3 linked regions of the Saccharomyces cerevisiae S288C genome follow. The protein of the gene in region 2 purifies or fractionates together with the protein of the main gene of each other region. This does not show direct contact. Each region holds a gene or a part of one and is shown on either strand. Other genes may lie near its edges.

Region 1 (8,187 bases), on a different chromosome or scaffold from region 2:
TATGGTTACATTATTCATGCAGCTGCTGTCATCGGCTATGTTGACTCTAAACTGAATGGTACTTGGGCTGCCGACAATAAAGATTGGGTCAATTCATTGGTAAGAGATGTCGCAAATCCATCTGAAAAAGATGAATACTTTGCACAATCGAGAATGTTTGATTGGTTCAACGGTCATTCATGGGCAGCTGGACTTTATGAAAACGGTAACGGTAAGAACGAAGAAAGTAGTAGTGAAGATTACAATTTTGCCTATGCTATGAAGTTATGGGGGGCCACTATCGGTGACCAGTCAATGGAATTGAGGGGTGACTTGATGATTAGTATAATGAAGGATGCAATGAACGACTATTTCTATTATCAAAATGACAACACAGTTGAGCCTGAAGAAATCATAGGAAATAAAGTGAGTGGTATTTTATTCGATAATATTATCGATTATACTACTTATTTTGGAACAAACACAGAATATATCCACGGTATTCATATGCTACCTATCACACCAGTTTCTTCTAATATTCGTTCTGAGACTTTCGTCGAAGAAGAATGGCAGACTAAAATCGAGCCAATTATTGAATCGATAGAAAGCGGCTGGACAGGCATATTGAAGCTGAATCAAGCACTCTTCGACCCAGTAGATTCGTATGCATTTTTCAGTGATTCAACTTTTGATTCATCCACATATTTGGATAACGGAATGAGTCGCACATGGGCATTAGCATTTTCAGGGGGACTGGCCAACTCAATTGCTTAGAAAGAGAACTTGGCAAGCAGGTCTGTCGAGTCTTTCCCACTACATACATATTTTATAGAATAAATCATTTTTACTTAACTTGAAAGTTGTTGCGTTCGAAAAGACCACGGCTAACGGAGACCACTTAGGTAAATGCATGCCAGTAAGAGGTATATTAGTACTTTAATGAATGAACTTAGCAAGGTAATGCCTGCACTAAAATAAAATTCTAACGTCATCCTAAGAAGCATCAATTGGACATAGTGAGGAAAAGTTTTCACCATTTAAAATTTGTTTTGCAGAATACCATTCTAGACTATGATCCCTTAGAGATTCTCATTCTTTAAATATCAGCTTCAACAGCATATCTTTATAGTATTATCGTACTACTGGCGACATTAGCAAATCAAAGTATTTTTGCTCAGTTTCTAGTTTTATCTGTTTGATTCCCCATTAGATGGTAAACACGTTGTCTTGATGACTGAAAAGGAAGTGAACATGGTCAACTCAAAATAACCAGACTCAAAATAATTGCAATTACCTAGGCTAGATATTTTTAGAATATTATGAGAATATTTTTAGAATATTTGCAACCCAAAATATATTTAAATGCCGCCAATTTGCAACCAAAAGATTATCCGCTACCTTTTTTTTAGTCATTGAATCGTAGCATAAAGTTCCGAGCTTTGAAAAAAAGCTTTGAACTAAGAAAAGGTAAGAGATCCTCAATTATGATATTACTCCAAGTCATATGCACGATTTGGACATGTCTCTTTATTCCGTTACTCAATGCAGAGGAATTCGTCCCCAAAGTAACGGAGACTCTTTCAGAATATTCATTTAGTCTAGAGAGCTTTGACGATTCCAACAGTTTAATCAGATTAGATAATCAAGTCGTGTGGATAAGTTCCGATTCTGGAGAAAATTGGGAAGCGGTCAAAGAAATTGAAGGGCATATTCTCGAATTAATTGTTGATCCTTTGCATGGACAGGACAGGGCTTTTGTTTCGATACATTTATCACCCAAATTTTACGTCACCGATGATCGTGGAAAATCATGGAGGGCTCTGACTATACCCGTCTCTGAAAACTGTCGTTTGGGTACTTCTTGCTCTATAGCTACCCATCCGACAGATAAAAAGTACCTTATTGCAGATTGCCCTTGCTTTATAAACGACAATGGTTATATCCAAATACAAAATGAAACTTACTTTACCAACGATGGGGAATCCTTTTACAATATCGAACCTTCCTTGAAAAAGAAAGAAGATGACCATATAACAAGTTCAAGCTGCAACTTTGTCAAATCTAGCAAGGATTCTGATATTGAGGGTAACGACGCTTCGATACTATGTTTGTTCTCGAACCATGGTTACGATAGCGATCGTCACTTAAGTGCCGCATATACACAATTAGCCTTAAGTACTGATGGAGGTAAAACTTTCAAAAAATTTGATGAGTTTAATGATAAAATTATTTATCAATACAAGATATTAAAATCACATATAATCGTTTCGACACAAGATGATAGATACAATGAAATGTCACCCATGGACATCTGGATATCCAATGATGCGTCTACTTTTCAAAAGGCACGTCTACCTGCTCAAGTACGGCACGTCCATATGTATGGAATTTATGAAGATTCTATTGGAAGAATAATCATTCCTATATCTACGATATTCACAGATGAAAAAAACGACCAACCAGCTCCCTCAGAAATTTTAATATCAGATTCTCAAGGGTTGAAATTTTTACCTGTTGAATGGACAATAAATCCTCACTTTGGTTATATTGATATTGCTTCTCCTCATTTCTTAGAAGGAACAATAATTGGCTCGTTTCATCCTTCCTTTGACTACTCTCATAACAAAGGAAAATATAATAAAAAGATAGCCAGATATGAAACTAAAATATCTGTTGATAACGGCCTCACATGGTCAAATTTGAAAGTGGTTGACGAGGAAAATGCAGATTCATTCCCTTGTGATATCACTAGGCCTGAAAGATGTTCGCTCCAGAACCCTTTTTATAGTATCTAAATCTCAAATCCTACTGCCGGAATTATGTTAATGACAGGTTCCGTTGGCGACGGTAGTGAATTCGATTGGGAAGACCAAAAAACTTTCATCTCTAGAGATGGCGGTTTAACGTGGAGATTTGTTCATAATTCTTCTGGGTTATATGCTACTGGTGACCTGGGAAATATTATTGTGTATATCCCATATGATCCAGAGGAAGATGGCGATTTTCAATCTGAATTTTATTATTCTTTGGACCAAGGTAGAACATGGAATGAATATGAGCTGACCAATGCCATAAGTTCTGTCCATCCCTACAAATTGATAAATCCAACACCAGATGGATCTGGCTCAAAATTTATTTTTAAAGGAACGTTTGCCACTACCGATTCCGAAACCAACAGTATAACTTCTTTAAAAGGTGTCGAGTATATAATTGATTTTTCAGCAGCATTCGACTCTAGAACGTGTGAGGAGGAAGATTTTGAAGATTGGGATTTGGCGGATGGGAAATGTGTTAATGGCGCCAAATACAAGTATAGAAGGAGGAAACAAGACGCCCAGTGTTTGGTAAAAAAAGCATTCAAAGATTTGAGTTTAGATGAAACGCCTTGTAATAGTTGTGGTGAATCCGACTACGAATGTTCGTTTGAATTTGTTAGGGACGCAAACGGCCTGTGTATACCAGATTATAATCTGATTGCCTTTTCCAACATATGTGACAAATCGAAGGATAAATCTGTGTTAGTAGAGCCATTACAATTAATCAAAGGTGATGAATGTAAAACACCCATGAAAATTGAACCCGTTGATATTCCGTGTGACGAAATTCCAGAGGAGGGTTCGAGTGACAGGGAAATAGTGACCACTGAAAACAAATTTGACTTCGAAATTAAATTTTACCAATACTTCGATACAGTTGCCGACGAATCTTTGGTCATGCTGAATTCGATAGGAGACGCCTATATATCCCACGATGGTGGACAAACAATAAAAAGGTTTGACACTAACGGCGAAAAAATTGTTGAAGTTGTGTTTAACCCATATTTCAATTCTTCAGCATATTTGTTTGGCTCTAAAGGTAACATATTCTCAACACACGATAGAGGACACTCTTTTATGATAGCTAAATTACCTGAAGCCAGGCAATTAGGTATGCCACTAGATTTTAGTGCTAAAGCACAGGATACTTTTATTTACTATGGTGGCAAGAATTGTGAATCAATCTTAAGTCCAGAATGTCATGCAGTAGCATACCTCACCAAAGATGGAGGTGAAACTTTTACAGAAATGCTTGATAATGCAATTCATTGTGAGTTTGCAGGCACACTCTTTGAATATCCGTCAAATGAGGAGATGGTTATGTGCCAAGTAAAAAAGAAGTCTTCAGAAACAAGAAGCTTGGTTTCTTCGATAGATTTTTTCCAAGGTGATAATAAAATTATCTTTGAAAACATTATCGGCTACTTGTCCACTGGTGGCTATATTATTGTTGCCGTACCTCATGAAGACAATGAGTTGAGGGCATATGTAACTATTGATGGTACTGAGTTTGCCGAGGCAAAATTCCCGTATGGTCAAGATGTTAGTAAGCAAGAGGCATTCACTATTTTAGGATCTGAGAAAGGATCGATATTTTTACATTTAGCAACAAACTTAGAATCAGGACACGATTTTGGAAACCTTTTGAAATCCAACTCGAATGGTACTTCTTTTGTCACTTTAGAGCATGCCGTTAATAGAAACACATTCGGTTATGTCGACTTTGAAAAAGTTCAAGGTCTTGAAGGTATTATTATTACCAACATCGTTTCGAATAGGGAAAAGGTTGGAGAGAACAAGGAAGACGAACAATTGAAGACGAAAATCACCTTTAATGACGGTTCAGATTGGAACTTTTTGAAGCCTCCAAAGAAGGATTCGGAAGGGAAAAAGTTTCCCTGTGATTCTGTATCATTAGATAAATGTTCTCTACATTTGCATGGTTACACTGAACGTAAGGATATCAGGGATACATATTCCTCCGGTTCCGCGTTAGGAATGATGTTTGGTGTCGGAAATGTTGGCGATAAGCTTCTACCATATGAGGAGTGTTCCACTTTTTTAACCACTGATGGAGGAGAGACGTGGACTGAGGTTAAAAAAGGCCCCCATCAATGGGAGTACGGTGATCATGGTGGAGTCTTGGTTTTGGTCCCCGAAAACGCAGAAACTGATTCTATTTCTTACTCCACCGATTTTGGTAAAACATGGAAAGATTATAAATTCTGTGGCGACAAAGTCCTCGTAAAGGATATAATCACCGTTCCCAGAGATTCTGCTTTGAGGTTTTTGCTATTTGGAGAAGCAAAAAACATGGGTAGTGGTTCATTCAGAACGTATACAATTGATTTTAGAAACATCTTCGAGAGGCAATGTGAGTTTGATATTACGGGTAAAAAAAGGGCAGATTTTAAGTACTCTCCTCTGGGTTCCAGAACTGGTTGTCTATTTGGTCATCAAACCGAGTTTTTACGTAAAACCGATGAAAAATGTTTTATTGGGAATATTCCACTTTCTGAATTTTCGAGGAACGTCAAAAACTGTTCATGTACGAGGCAAGATTTCGAATGTGACTATAATTTTTATAAAGCCAGTGATGGTACTTGTAAATTAGTCAAAGGCTTAAGTTCGGCGAATGGTGCCGATATCTGCAAAAAGGAACCCGACTTAATTGAATACTATGATTCCTCTGGCTATCGAAAAATTCCCTTATCAACCTGTAAAGGTGGGCTGAAATTGGATGCACATTTAGCACCACATCCTTGTCCGGGAAAAGAAAAGGCATTCAGGGAAAAATATTCTATAAACACCGGCGCTTATGCGCTGGTTTTTGTTACAATTCTTCTCGTTATTTTCTTTGCCGCATGGTTTGTATACGATAGAGGTATCAGGAGAAATGGGGGATTTTCAAGATTTGAAGAAATAAGATTAGGAGACGATGGGCTGATAGAAAACAATAGGACCGATAGAGTTGTCAACATCATTGTAAGACTAGGATTATGCATTTCTTTAATTACCAAGTCTGCATTTCAACGCACGAAGGCAGGTGTAGCACGCTTTTCTTCAAAATTAAGGGCAAGGTTTGGCAACAGAAAAGGTCCTACTTACTCTTCGCTGCTTCAGGGTCAGTTTTCAGATGAATCAGATGGCTTGCATGAAGATGCTAACGATTTATCCAGTTTCACAAGTCAAGACAGTAATTTTGAAATTGAACAAGAAGATGCTTACAGACCCGAACAAGAGCACACGTCACAGATAGACCAGCCTGCCACTAGCAATATTCCAGACGCATTGCCAGCACGTAGTGCTATTCACAAGCCTGATTCAACTGCTGTGCGCAACGAGGACGAGTAAATAGATTTTTTTAATAGACTAAATAATCGTATGTTTGCTAACAAAAAGTACGCATATGCATTTTCTCAATATTGTGCATTTTCTAAATCTCCATTCACCTTTGTTATTAACATAGTCATTTAAAGGTATGATAATTCAGTATTCATCTTTTCCACAGACGGCGCTGCATGCCATTCGTCTGTAACTTGCCTAGGGACTGCGCCGCACATAATCGTGACAGAAATTTCAAAAGTGATAGGAGCCAAAAGTGATAGGAGCCAAAAAGAACATATATAAGCACGATCAAATTAACTGAACTTGACCACTTTTCTTTCACTGTCAGAATTGGACGAAGGACAAAAATGTCAAATATCATTGCAAGATTTCACAAGATTCAAGTTCAAGACGGTGTAAAGGTTTGGTACCGTGAGGCCGGTGCAGCAGGTAACCCCACAATTTTATTGCTACATGGGTTCCCTACATCTTCCAACATGTTCAGGAACCTCATTCCCTTACTAGCTGGACAGTTTCACATCATTGCTCCGGATCTTCCTGGGTTCGGATTTACGGAAACGCCAGAAAACTACAAGTTCAGCTTTGATTCCCTTTGTGAAAGTATAGGATATTTGTTAGATACTTTGAGTATTGAAAAATTTGCCATGTATATATTTGATTATGGATCTCCGGTAGGTTTTCGGTTAGCCTTGAAGTTTCCCTCCAGAATTACTGGCATTGTTACTCAAAACGGTAATGCTTACGAAGAGGGTCTCGATGACCGCTTTTGGGGTCCGTTGAAGGAATATTGGAAGTCATATCAAAGTGATCCGGTATTTGTTAAATCCCTTATCCCGTACCTTGAAGATCCAGCTAATGTCATATGCCAGTACCATGATGGAGTACCAGCTATCGAATCTGTTGATCCCGCCGCTTATACGCTTGATATTGCGCTAATTCAGCGTACCGGCCAGACCGATATTCAATTGAGATTATTTTTCGATTATCAGAATAATATAAAGTTGTACCCAGCCTTTCAAAAGTTCTTGAGAGATTCAAAGATTCCTGTGCTAGTTGCATGGGGTGCGAATGATACTATTTTTAGCGTTGCCGGGGCTGAAGCTTATCGGAAAGACGTTGATAATTTAAAGGTTGTTTACTATGATACTGGCCATTTTGCGCTTGAAACTCACGTAGTTGCTATTGCCGAAGAAATCATCAGTATGTTTGCAGAAAATTAAAGATACTAAGTTCTTGTGACAATGTTTTCTGAGAAGAATCTCTCGTATTTTGTTTAATTGCCAAAAACACATATGTTTCGACTCACATAGAGTTGCCTCAGAGCGTTCTTTTGTTACCCATTATTGCTCATAAATAAGTCAAAACAGATGTCTGGTCGCATTATCAAGGGTTTGTACTGGTAGCCCGGTGACAATATATTAATCTAAGCATATAACATTTTTAGTAAGTTCTTCAGCCACCTTTTTTACGATCTATGTTGTTTTGAAGGGTAAACCTACTACCATGTCATATGGATCTTTCCCCTAGTAAACTTGTATCTCAAAAGGTCATTTCTGAATAAAGTGTCAAAAAATCAGCTAGGAAACGGTTTAGTAAAGTATGCGACCCCAAAATTCGACAAAGCTATCACCACTCAGCTGTACTGGACTGATCGGATATTTGATTATATCAATAAGGTTTTGTTCAATAGGAAGTACCTGAACTAAATCTTGCAATATTTCCAATGCTAGAATGTATTCAAATAGTTCAGTACCTTTAAGGAACTGCACCACCTGCTTATACCTTAGGAGTATAATACATGAAATACATAATGTCAGTGACGCTGTTCTTAAAGGATAACAAAAATTCCAATCCAAACGTTCATGCCTTTCCTTTTCGTTATCGGGAAACTGTTTAGTGTATTGACTCCATATTTCGTGAATTATTGATTTTGCCATGGTTACTGCTTGTAAGGATTCTCCAGTGATCAGATACGGACGATATAATAGAAAAGAAGCTTGAGCTCTTAAACATGATAGCTCTAACATTAAGACTCTGCTCCTGT
Region 2 (3,283 bases):
TAATCCCGTGATGTTTATGCAAGATAGCGAATTCATGTAGATCGCGCCATGCTGTCTTTGCTTTTGTTGGGACCATATTGATACTATATCTATGATTAGGATCTTTTCGTCCCCCGTAGTACAATTCACCAACTTTTGCAGCGCTACCGAAGGTTTAAAATCACTTTCAATGATGTGCAAGAACCCTAGTTTACTCTCCTGCTCTTCACTAATTAGGTTTCTTAATTCATTTGGTAGGTTTATATAGTTCTTGGTTGATGTGATGAAGTTTGACAAAGGATAAATTCTAATGTTCTTTAAAACTTCCATCCCATTCCATTCGCTACTTCCTTTCTCTTTTCCTAAGAATTTTCATTATTAGAAGGAGTAATGCTTACGGTACACATACATACACATATATATATATAAATATATATATATATAAGGACATATACAGATTTTTTTTTTTCGCGTACTAAAGTACAGAACAAAGAAAATAAGAAAAGAAGGCGATCATTGAACTACTGTGACTTGCCAATATGGTCTAAAAATTTGTCAATTTCACCTGAAGAACCCAACCAAATAGAAGATTTGTCATGGATATGACTTGGCACCAAATCCAAGATTCTCTCTCCGCGATCGTTGACCGCTTTTCCCCCTGCTTGTTCCATTAAGAAAGCCATTGGGAAGGCCTCATAAAGCAACCTCAGTTTTCCGTTGGGGCTCTTCTTGTCGCAAGGGTATGCGAAAAGGCCACCGTAAAGAAACGTCCTGTGAACATCAGCAACCATGGATCCAACATACCTAGCCGAGAAAGGCTTGTTGTTGTTGTCTGCTTGGGGTTGTTTGACTTTCTCAATAAATGTTCTTATAGTCTCGTTCCAGTAGAGGGTGTTACCTTCATTAATTGAGTAGATGGCCTTTTGAGGCGGAATTCTTAAGTTAGGATGAGTCAAGATGAATTCGCCCAAGTTTGTGTCTAAGGTAAACCCATCAACTCCATCACCCAATGTCAATACTAGATGCGTAGAGGATCCGTACATGGCATAGCAAGCGGCTACCATTTCTTTACCACATCTCAGTACGTCGTTTATAGTACCTGATGAGTCTGGTAGCAGTCTGAATATAGACGCGATAGTTCCAACGGAGACACCGGCGTCCAAATTTGAGGAGCCATCAATAGGATCACAACACACTGCGTATGAGCCCGTGTTTGTGGGAAAAACGATCAAGTCTTCCTGTTCTTCAGATACAAGGACCTTGATGATCCCACTAGCCCTCATGGCATTGATAAATATTTCATCACCTAGAACGTCCAACTTCTTTTGCTGGTCACCAGTGAAGTTGGAAGCGCCTGCTAACCCAACCAAGTTAACCAATTCAGCACGTCTGATGGTGTGAGATACAAATTTGAACGCGAATTGCAAGGCATTCAGTACTAATGTGAAATCACCAGTAGCGTTCTTAAATTGCTTCTGGTGCTCGATTATGAATCTAGGAAGAGTGATGATATCGGTATCAAACCCTTCGGTAGAGTCTCTTCTTGGTCCATTTACTAGAGTTGGCATATGTGTGGTAGTATGAGGGATGTTTCTTATATGTTCGCACTGTTATTCTTAGGCCTATCATACAAAAAGCAAGATCAAGACAAAATACACGTCTGTAATTGCACTACTTGTTGCTCCATATATATACGTACATTTGTTAGCGAGTGAAATGGATAATATTGCCTATACATAGGACGATCCTTATAATATAGTGTGGGGAAGATGCCACAAGTTGGCAAGCGACAGGAAGAAACCAAGCAAACCAAAAAAAAAGTAGTGGGTATTGGCCAGTTCGGCAATCTTCGCCTTCAAATTCCCTGTCTCAACTTTTTAAGCTTTCTTGATATGTGGGAATACCAGGCTATTGCTGCCTTGCGTTGGCTCTTACGCCCTTAACATTACCTAGCTTTACTACATAATGAGCTTTCGGGCCCGCATAACTCCGGGTGTCCGCACGACCGCGACTACTAAGAATAATAATAATACCCCGGAGGTGAATTCAAAAGCGGCGATTCCATCCGTCCGGAAAAGAGAGCAGAAGTTAGCCCGGGACCATGCAGTTTGATGGGTTGTCTATCTTAGACTGGAAAATTCGAAGAACTCATCCTTGTTAGCTCAGTTGGTAGAGCGTTCGGCTTTTAAGCGCATTTGCTTAAGCAAGGATACCGAAATGTCAGGGGTTCGAGCCCCCTATGAGGAGTTCTTTACTTTTTTTTTATCAACTTCCTTTGCTTCACGCCTATTATAAATTTAGATCGCGTATGATATTGTTAATCGGCGGTTAGAATTTATAAAAATCGACGATTTTCTAGGAATTATTTGCGCATACATATATATAGTTATTTAGCTCTATACAGGTGTAAGAAGGCGTTGATAAAACTATGGTAACAAAATAAAAAAATAGAGGGAGGGGTGTGGCTAAATGCGATTTTTTTTTTCTTTGGATATTATTTTCATTTTATATTCACATCAAATCAGAAAATCCTGGAACGAGGTTCTTAGTAAACCCACCTTCCTTGGCGGCAGCTTCGTAGTAGCCGTAGATGGTGGTAGTAGCCATCAAAATGGATGCCCCAGAACCTAAAGTACCTAGTAGGTCGGAGCCAACAGAAAGAGCACCGATGGTAGCACCGCCGAAAGCAGCAGCAGTTGGAATGATCTTCTTCAATTCTCTGTAAATGGAGGTTTCTCTCTTACCGTTAATGACCATGCCTTGATCTTTGAATTGTTTGGCAATGTCACGTGGGGAAGTGCCGGAGATTTCGATCCATGTCTTGGAAAATACTGCGCATGAACCAAGAACAAATGTGATGTAGACGATGGTCTTGATAGGGTCCAGAAGAGCTTCGGATAAAGACATTAATGGTTGGATGTAGTAGGCCAACCCGCTCAAGGCCATTTGAGGGCCCTGGGTGCCCGGCCTGATACCCCAAACACCGATCAAACGAATCAATGGATTGGTTGGGTATTTCTGGAAAAGGATTTGAGAGATCAAGAAAATGTTAGAAGTCAATGCACTCTGCAACATGATTGGGGTGTTGGAAGTATAAAAGAGTTTGATGGGGTAGATACCAATTTGACCTCTCACTTTGGTTGACCTGATGGGCAATTCGTAACGGAAGCCTTGTAAATATAAAACAAAGAGGAAGATGGCCACGGTCATCAACACTTGGAACATATTAGGTAGATTGGTACGGTAAAAGGCCTCGACAAGGGCTCTTTTCTTGTCCTTTCTGACAGCCAAAAGATGGAAAAAG
Region 3 (5,866 bases), on a different chromosome or scaffold from region 2:
TAATATTTGTAGAGTTAAGATGCAAGTTCCAGGTGAGCATTTTGCGCCCATGGGTCCCAATGGGCAACGAAGTGATTTGAACGAAAAATCAGAGTTATTGCACGGAACAGTCGATTTCTTGGTGCCAAGTATTTACAATGCTATTCAGGAGAAGGAGCTTTTACCACTACACTACGTGTTTTTGATTGATGTTTCATTGTTAGCTAATGAGAACGGAAGTTCTTTAGCCATGGTGGAAGGTGTCAGGTCATGTATTGAGTATATTTCAGATTTCCAGCCAAATTGTGAGGTTGCTATAATCGTTTATGATAATAAGTTGCGGTTCTTTAATTTGAGACCAGATTTAGATAATGCACAAGAGTACATTGTAAGTGAATTGGACGATGTTTTCTTACCATTTTATAATGGATTATTTGTTAAACCCGGAAACTCGATGAAAATCATTAATGACACATTGATAAAAATTAGTGGTTACATCTCCACCGACAAGTATAGTCACGTACCCCAAGTCTGTTATGGTTCTGCTTTACAAGCCGCAAAATTAGCGTTAGACACAGTAACTGGCGGGCAAGGTGGTAAGATTATTTGTTCTTTGAACAGCTTGCCAACGATCGGCAACGGGAATTTATCGCTAAAAAGGGACAATGCACACATTGCTCATGTTAAATGCGACAATGGGTTCTATAAGAAATTAGCATCGGATTTTTTGAAATCCTACATTTCTTTAGATTTATATGTGACCAATGCGGGATTCATTGATATGGCCACTGTGGGCCATCCTGTAGAGATGACTTCCGGTATTTTGAAATATTATCCCCACTTTCAACAAGAGACGGATGCCTTCACTTTGGTTAACGACATGGTTACAAATGTCTCCAATATTGTTGGTTATCAAGCTTTATTGAAAGTTCGCTGTTCTACTGGGCTATCTGTGGAACAGTACTACTGCGATTCATCTGATAATACGGATCATGATCCAATTATTCCTGTATTGACTAGAGATACCACCTTAGATGTCTTACTAAAATATGACAGTAAAATAAAAACAGGAACCGATGTTCATTTCCAAACTGCATTGTTATATACTGATATTGATGGTGTCAGAAAAGTTCGTTCTATTAACACGTCAGGTGCGGTATCTAATAACATTCGTGAAATTTTCAAGTTTATAAATCAAAATCCTGTCATGAGAATAATGATCAAAGATGTCATAAAGACGCTCGGTGATTGTGACTTTGTAAAGATCAGAAGATTAATTGATGACAAGATGGTCGAAATCTTGACCCAATATAGAGGATTGGTTAGCAGTAACTCATCAACGCAATTGATACTGCCGGATTCTATAAAGACATTGCCTGCTTACATGTTAGCATTTGAAAAAAGCGAATTAATGAAGCCAAACGCTCAAAGTACCCGTGGTAATGAACGAATTTATGATTTATTGAAGTACGATTCATTGAACTCAGCACAACTTTGCTACAAACTTTATCCACAAATTGTGCCATTCCATGTATTATTAGAGGAAACTGATCTGACCTTTTACGATGCTAATGATAAATTATTACAGATCAACTCCAGCTCTATTAATAATCTATCTGTAAGAGCCTCACACTCTAATTTCATTAACGGCGGTTGCTACTTGATTTTCCAAGGTGATACTATCTATCTATGGTTTAATGAGAACACCAATAGAATGCTCTTGCAAGACCTGCTGTCAGTGGATGAATCCTTGCCCGTCAGCCAAATTTCGTTATTTAGTGGAACATTGCCTGAGACGGGCACTAGTATTAATCAAAAGGCTTCAAACGTCATTAAAAACTGGCAACAAGTAGTCAACAAGTCATCATTGCCGTTAGTCTTGTTGAGGCCTAATGTTGATCAATATTACAGTAATGTGATGAGTCAATTGCTTTGCGAGGACAAGACCGTCAACAGAATCGAATCATATGACAATTACTTGGTGATAATGCATAAAAAAATTCAAGAAAAACTTCAAAAAGACGATTTCATTAAAGTCTCGACTGCCGCAACTCACGAAAATATCCATCAAAAATTTGTGCAGTTTTGAGCCTCGCTCAAAGGAGACCCTGTGCTTACACGCAGAAAACTGGAAATAACGACATATTGTTGTGGCTGTGGCCGATGCGGTTCGTATATCCATTACTAAATAATTAAATACGTAAATGAATGAATAGACTGATATGATTGTGATTTTTACGTGTTGGCTATATTGTGCCTTTCTGCATTCACCTGCGCCTCCTCATGTAGAAAGGCGTTGATCAAGGGGAATACAGGAGAAGTATTTTTGGGTTCGTGTTTTGGTGGGGTTCCAGCCACAGAAGGGCTCTCGGCAGCGAAACGCTGACTATGCTGAGAATACTGCCAAAAAAAAAAAAAAGGCAGTATGTGAAACGCAGGCAGAGAAAGGGTGAAATTCTACATAGGATGAGAGAATCTCATAATTACAGGGATAAAACTGTAGCTTTGCTTCCTCTTTTATCTTTATTTTTTCTTGACTGTCTTCTGGTAAATCTTGCAAAATTACTACTATTTTGTATTTCAGAAGCGTTTTTTCCAAAGAATACTATATCAAACAGACGCAAATGAATCAAACAGGAAGGACCATAGGCGGTCCTCAAAATGGCGTGAATACAGTGATTAACCCCTTCAGAGTTTCTCCTTCAGAGGACAGAGTATCAAGCAGGGATGAAACGCCCAGGAATTATAAGTATGTGTAGCTCCACTCCCAAAATTGCACTACAGTGTAACTAACAGTCATGACTACTTCAGAATACTAACTTAACTCTTTTTCTCCTTTCAAAATCGATTGAGATAATCCATAATTATTGCAGTAACCCATTTTTAAATGAAGATGACACTAGGAGGGCCCATAACAGTAGCGTTTCCAATTCTAGACAAGAAAGACTCCCATCATATGAAGAAGCTGCGGGGACACCGAAACAGCAAGCTCCATACCCAAAAGAAAAGAAACGCAGTAGTGGTTCAAATAGTCACCAACACAACCACCACCACCATCGTCGTACATCACACGGACATAGGGACAAAGATAAGCAGAAGAGCAAAAGCAGAACCAAGGTTAAGCCCCCTAAAAATGTAGACACTATTGACAAGATGGATGTTACAGGATTATTTGGCGGATCTTTCCATCATGACGGCCCCTTTGATGCATGCACTCCACAGAGAAATAAGAATAATAAAGTGGCGCCTGTACTGGCCTTCCCAGCAGATGGTCCAAATAATACAGTAGGCGGCCGCACAAGTAAGAAGTCTACCTTAGATGAGGTGTTTGGTAGGGAAACAGTAGACGACGATTCTGAGACGCTGAACCAACTACAAGATAGAGCATATTTATTCAATAAGGCCAATTCCAGTACTACGACTTTGGATGCGATTAAACCGAATTCAAAAAATATTACCCAGTTCGATTCCAAAATGAAAACTGAACTAGTCCATGGGCCCATTACGATGGGTCTAGGCTCAACGACGTTCCTGGATGGCGCACCAGCGTCTTCCGCTGCCATAGAGCAAGATGTTATCAACCACGCACAAGAATCTCGTAGGAAAAACAGCATAGCAAGAAAAAAGTCTCTCCCCTCAAGAAGACATCTACAAGTGAACAACAACAATTTAAAGCTAGTGAAAACACATAGTGGACACTTGGAGCAAAAGGACGTAGACGATAATAGAACTTCTGTTCCGGTCACTGCCACCCAAGGAAGCGGTCACGAAGATGTTGTTAAAAAGGAAAACACCGGCAACAAGCTATTAAGGAGGGTGAAAAGCTTGAAAACTAGTAAAAAGCACTGATCAATGCTTCTTTCTTGCGTTCTTTTTGTTGCGCCCATATATTATTTTATTTATTACATTCATATAGCAATATTTACCTTATTTTATTGGTTACTTTTCTATACGCAAAATCACTACACTATGTTATGTTAAGGTCTCCGATACGGGAATATACCAATCAATACTTATCACTTCGGATTTTTTATGGGTCTTATCCCCACTGTTCCATTTTCTTGTTTAAGGCATCCCGGAGGATAAACTAAAAAGGTGGCCCATCCCACCCGAAATGAAAGTAATCATCTGCTAGCAAAAAGTAAAGAAATGAGAGCATGCTGTGATGTACTGGTGGACGAAATTGTGACCCATACCCACCGAAGAAACATCCGCATGACGTGTTACTGTTACTTCCCGGATTAAGGGATGCATTCTAACTCTGTGCGCCCTTTTCTCTGCAGTTGATCCGCATTCCCCGTGGCTGTGCACATTAGGGGACAGTAAGTAATTCACTTTCTGATCCCGCACTCATAGCGATGGAATAATATACCGGATTTCACACCTTGTTATTGAGTGAAGTACTGCTTGGTGAAATGATATCTTTATGTTCAATATTAATGGTCGTGTGGATGAATATATGGGCATGGGTTAATTAGTTTTAGGGGCACGGAGTAAACAAGAAAGGAGGGCCAGAATCATTAGTAGAGTACCTCAAGTTTGGTTTCTTTTTGATTTCACGTATAAAAGAGTCTCTCTCTTTTCTTTTCATGCTAGTCGAACGGTTCTCCCTCTAAGAATAAGAAACTATCAAAAGAAAGAGAAAAGTCGATTGAATAATTTTTCTATATATAATATACGCAAACAAGATTCGCTTTCACTTTGCAATTTTACTTCATAGCTTTGTTAAAACCAGCAAAAAATATTATTTTTCTAGAAAAAAGAATATATTAGAGGTAAAGAAAGAATGTCGGAACTTGAAAACGCTCATCAAGGCCCCTTGGAAGGGTCTGCTACTGTGAGCACAAATTCTAACTCATACAACGAGAAGTCAGGAAACTCGACTGCTCCTGGTACCGCCGGTTACAACGATAATTTGGCACAAGCTAAACCCGTCTCAAGTTACATTTCCCATGAAGGCCCTCCCAAAGACGAACTGGAAGAGCTTCAGAAGGAGGTTGACAAACAACTAGAGAAGAAATCGAAGTCGGATTTACTATTTGTATCCGTCTGCTGTTTGATGGTTGCTTTTGGTGGGTTCGTGTTTGGGTGGGATACTGGTACTATATCTGGTTTTGTCAGGCAAACAGACTTCATTAGGCGATTTGGCAGCACCCGTGCAAACGGGACTACCTATCTTTCCGATGTCAGAACCGGTTTGATGGTTTCTATTTTCAACATCGGCTGCGCTATCGGAGGTATAGTTTTGTCAAAGCTCGGTGATATGTATGGACGTAAGATTGGTCTGATGACTGTTGTCGTCATTTACTCAATTGGGATCATCATCCAAATCGCCTCCATTGACAAATGGTATCAATATTTCATTGGAAGAATCATCTCAGGACTGGGCGTTGGTGGTATTACAGTTTTGGCGCCTATGCTAATTTCTGAAGTGTCGCCTAAGCAGTTGCGTGGTACTCTGGTTTCATGTTACCAATTAATGATCACTTTCGGTATCTTTTTGGGATATTGTACTAATTTTGGTACCAAGAATTACTCAAACTCTGTCCAATGGAGGGTACCATTAGGCTTATGCTTTGCATGGTCTATTTTTATGATTGTTGGTATGACGTTCGTTCCTGAATCCCCACGTTATCTGGTAGAAGTGGGAAAAATTGAAGAGGCCAAGCGGTCCTTAGCAAGAGCTAACAAAACCACTGAAGACTCTCCTTTAGTAACTTTAGAAATGGAGAACTATCAGTCTTCTATTGAAGCTGAGAGATTGGCGGGCTCTGCTTCTTGGGGGGAATTGGTTACTGGTAAGCCCCAGATGTTCAGACGTACACTAATGGGTATGATGATTCAATCTTTACAACAGCTGACAGGTGACAATTACTTCTTTTACTAT

The links. The genes of interacting proteins can lie anywhere in the genome.
Region 1: the proteins of FBP1 (region 2) and YNR065C purify together in Saccharomyces cerevisiae (affinity purification with western blotting, with the first as the bait; one study listed by BioGRID). This does not show direct contact.
Region 3: the proteins of FBP1 (region 2) and PAL2 purify together in Saccharomyces cerevisiae (affinity purification with mass spectrometry, with the first as the bait; one study listed by BioGRID). This does not show direct contact.

What each region holds. Positions count from the first base shown.
Region 1 is NC_001146.8:748,312-756,498, reverse strand, and holds YNR065C (uncharacterized protein), read left to right. Parts: upstream 1-2,798; coding exon 2,799-6,149; downstream 6,150-8,187. Other genes in the region: DSE4 (endo-1,3(4)-beta-glucanase), read left to right, coding at 1-753; YNR066C (uncharacterized protein), read left to right, coding at 1,464-2,774; YNR064C (epoxide hydrolase), read left to right, coding at 6,491-7,363; PUL4 (Pul4p), read right to left, coding at 7,733-8,187.
Region 2 is NC_001144.5:873,246-876,528, forward strand, and holds FBP1 (fructose 1,6-bisphosphate 1-phosphatase), read right to left. Parts: upstream 1,548-3,283; coding exon 501-1,547; downstream 1-500. Other genes in the region: PSY3 (Psy3p), read right to left, coding at 1-309; translocon subunit SEC61, read right to left, coding at 2,491-3,283.
Region 3 is NC_001140.6:295,347-301,212, reverse strand, and holds PAL2 (Pal2p), read left to right. Parts: upstream 1-2,603; coding exon 2,604-2,728; intron 2,729-2,852; coding exon 2,853-3,828; downstream 3,829-5,866. Other genes in the region: SFB3 (Sfb3p), read left to right, coding at 1-2,068; hexose transporter HXT5, read left to right, coding at 4,766-5,866.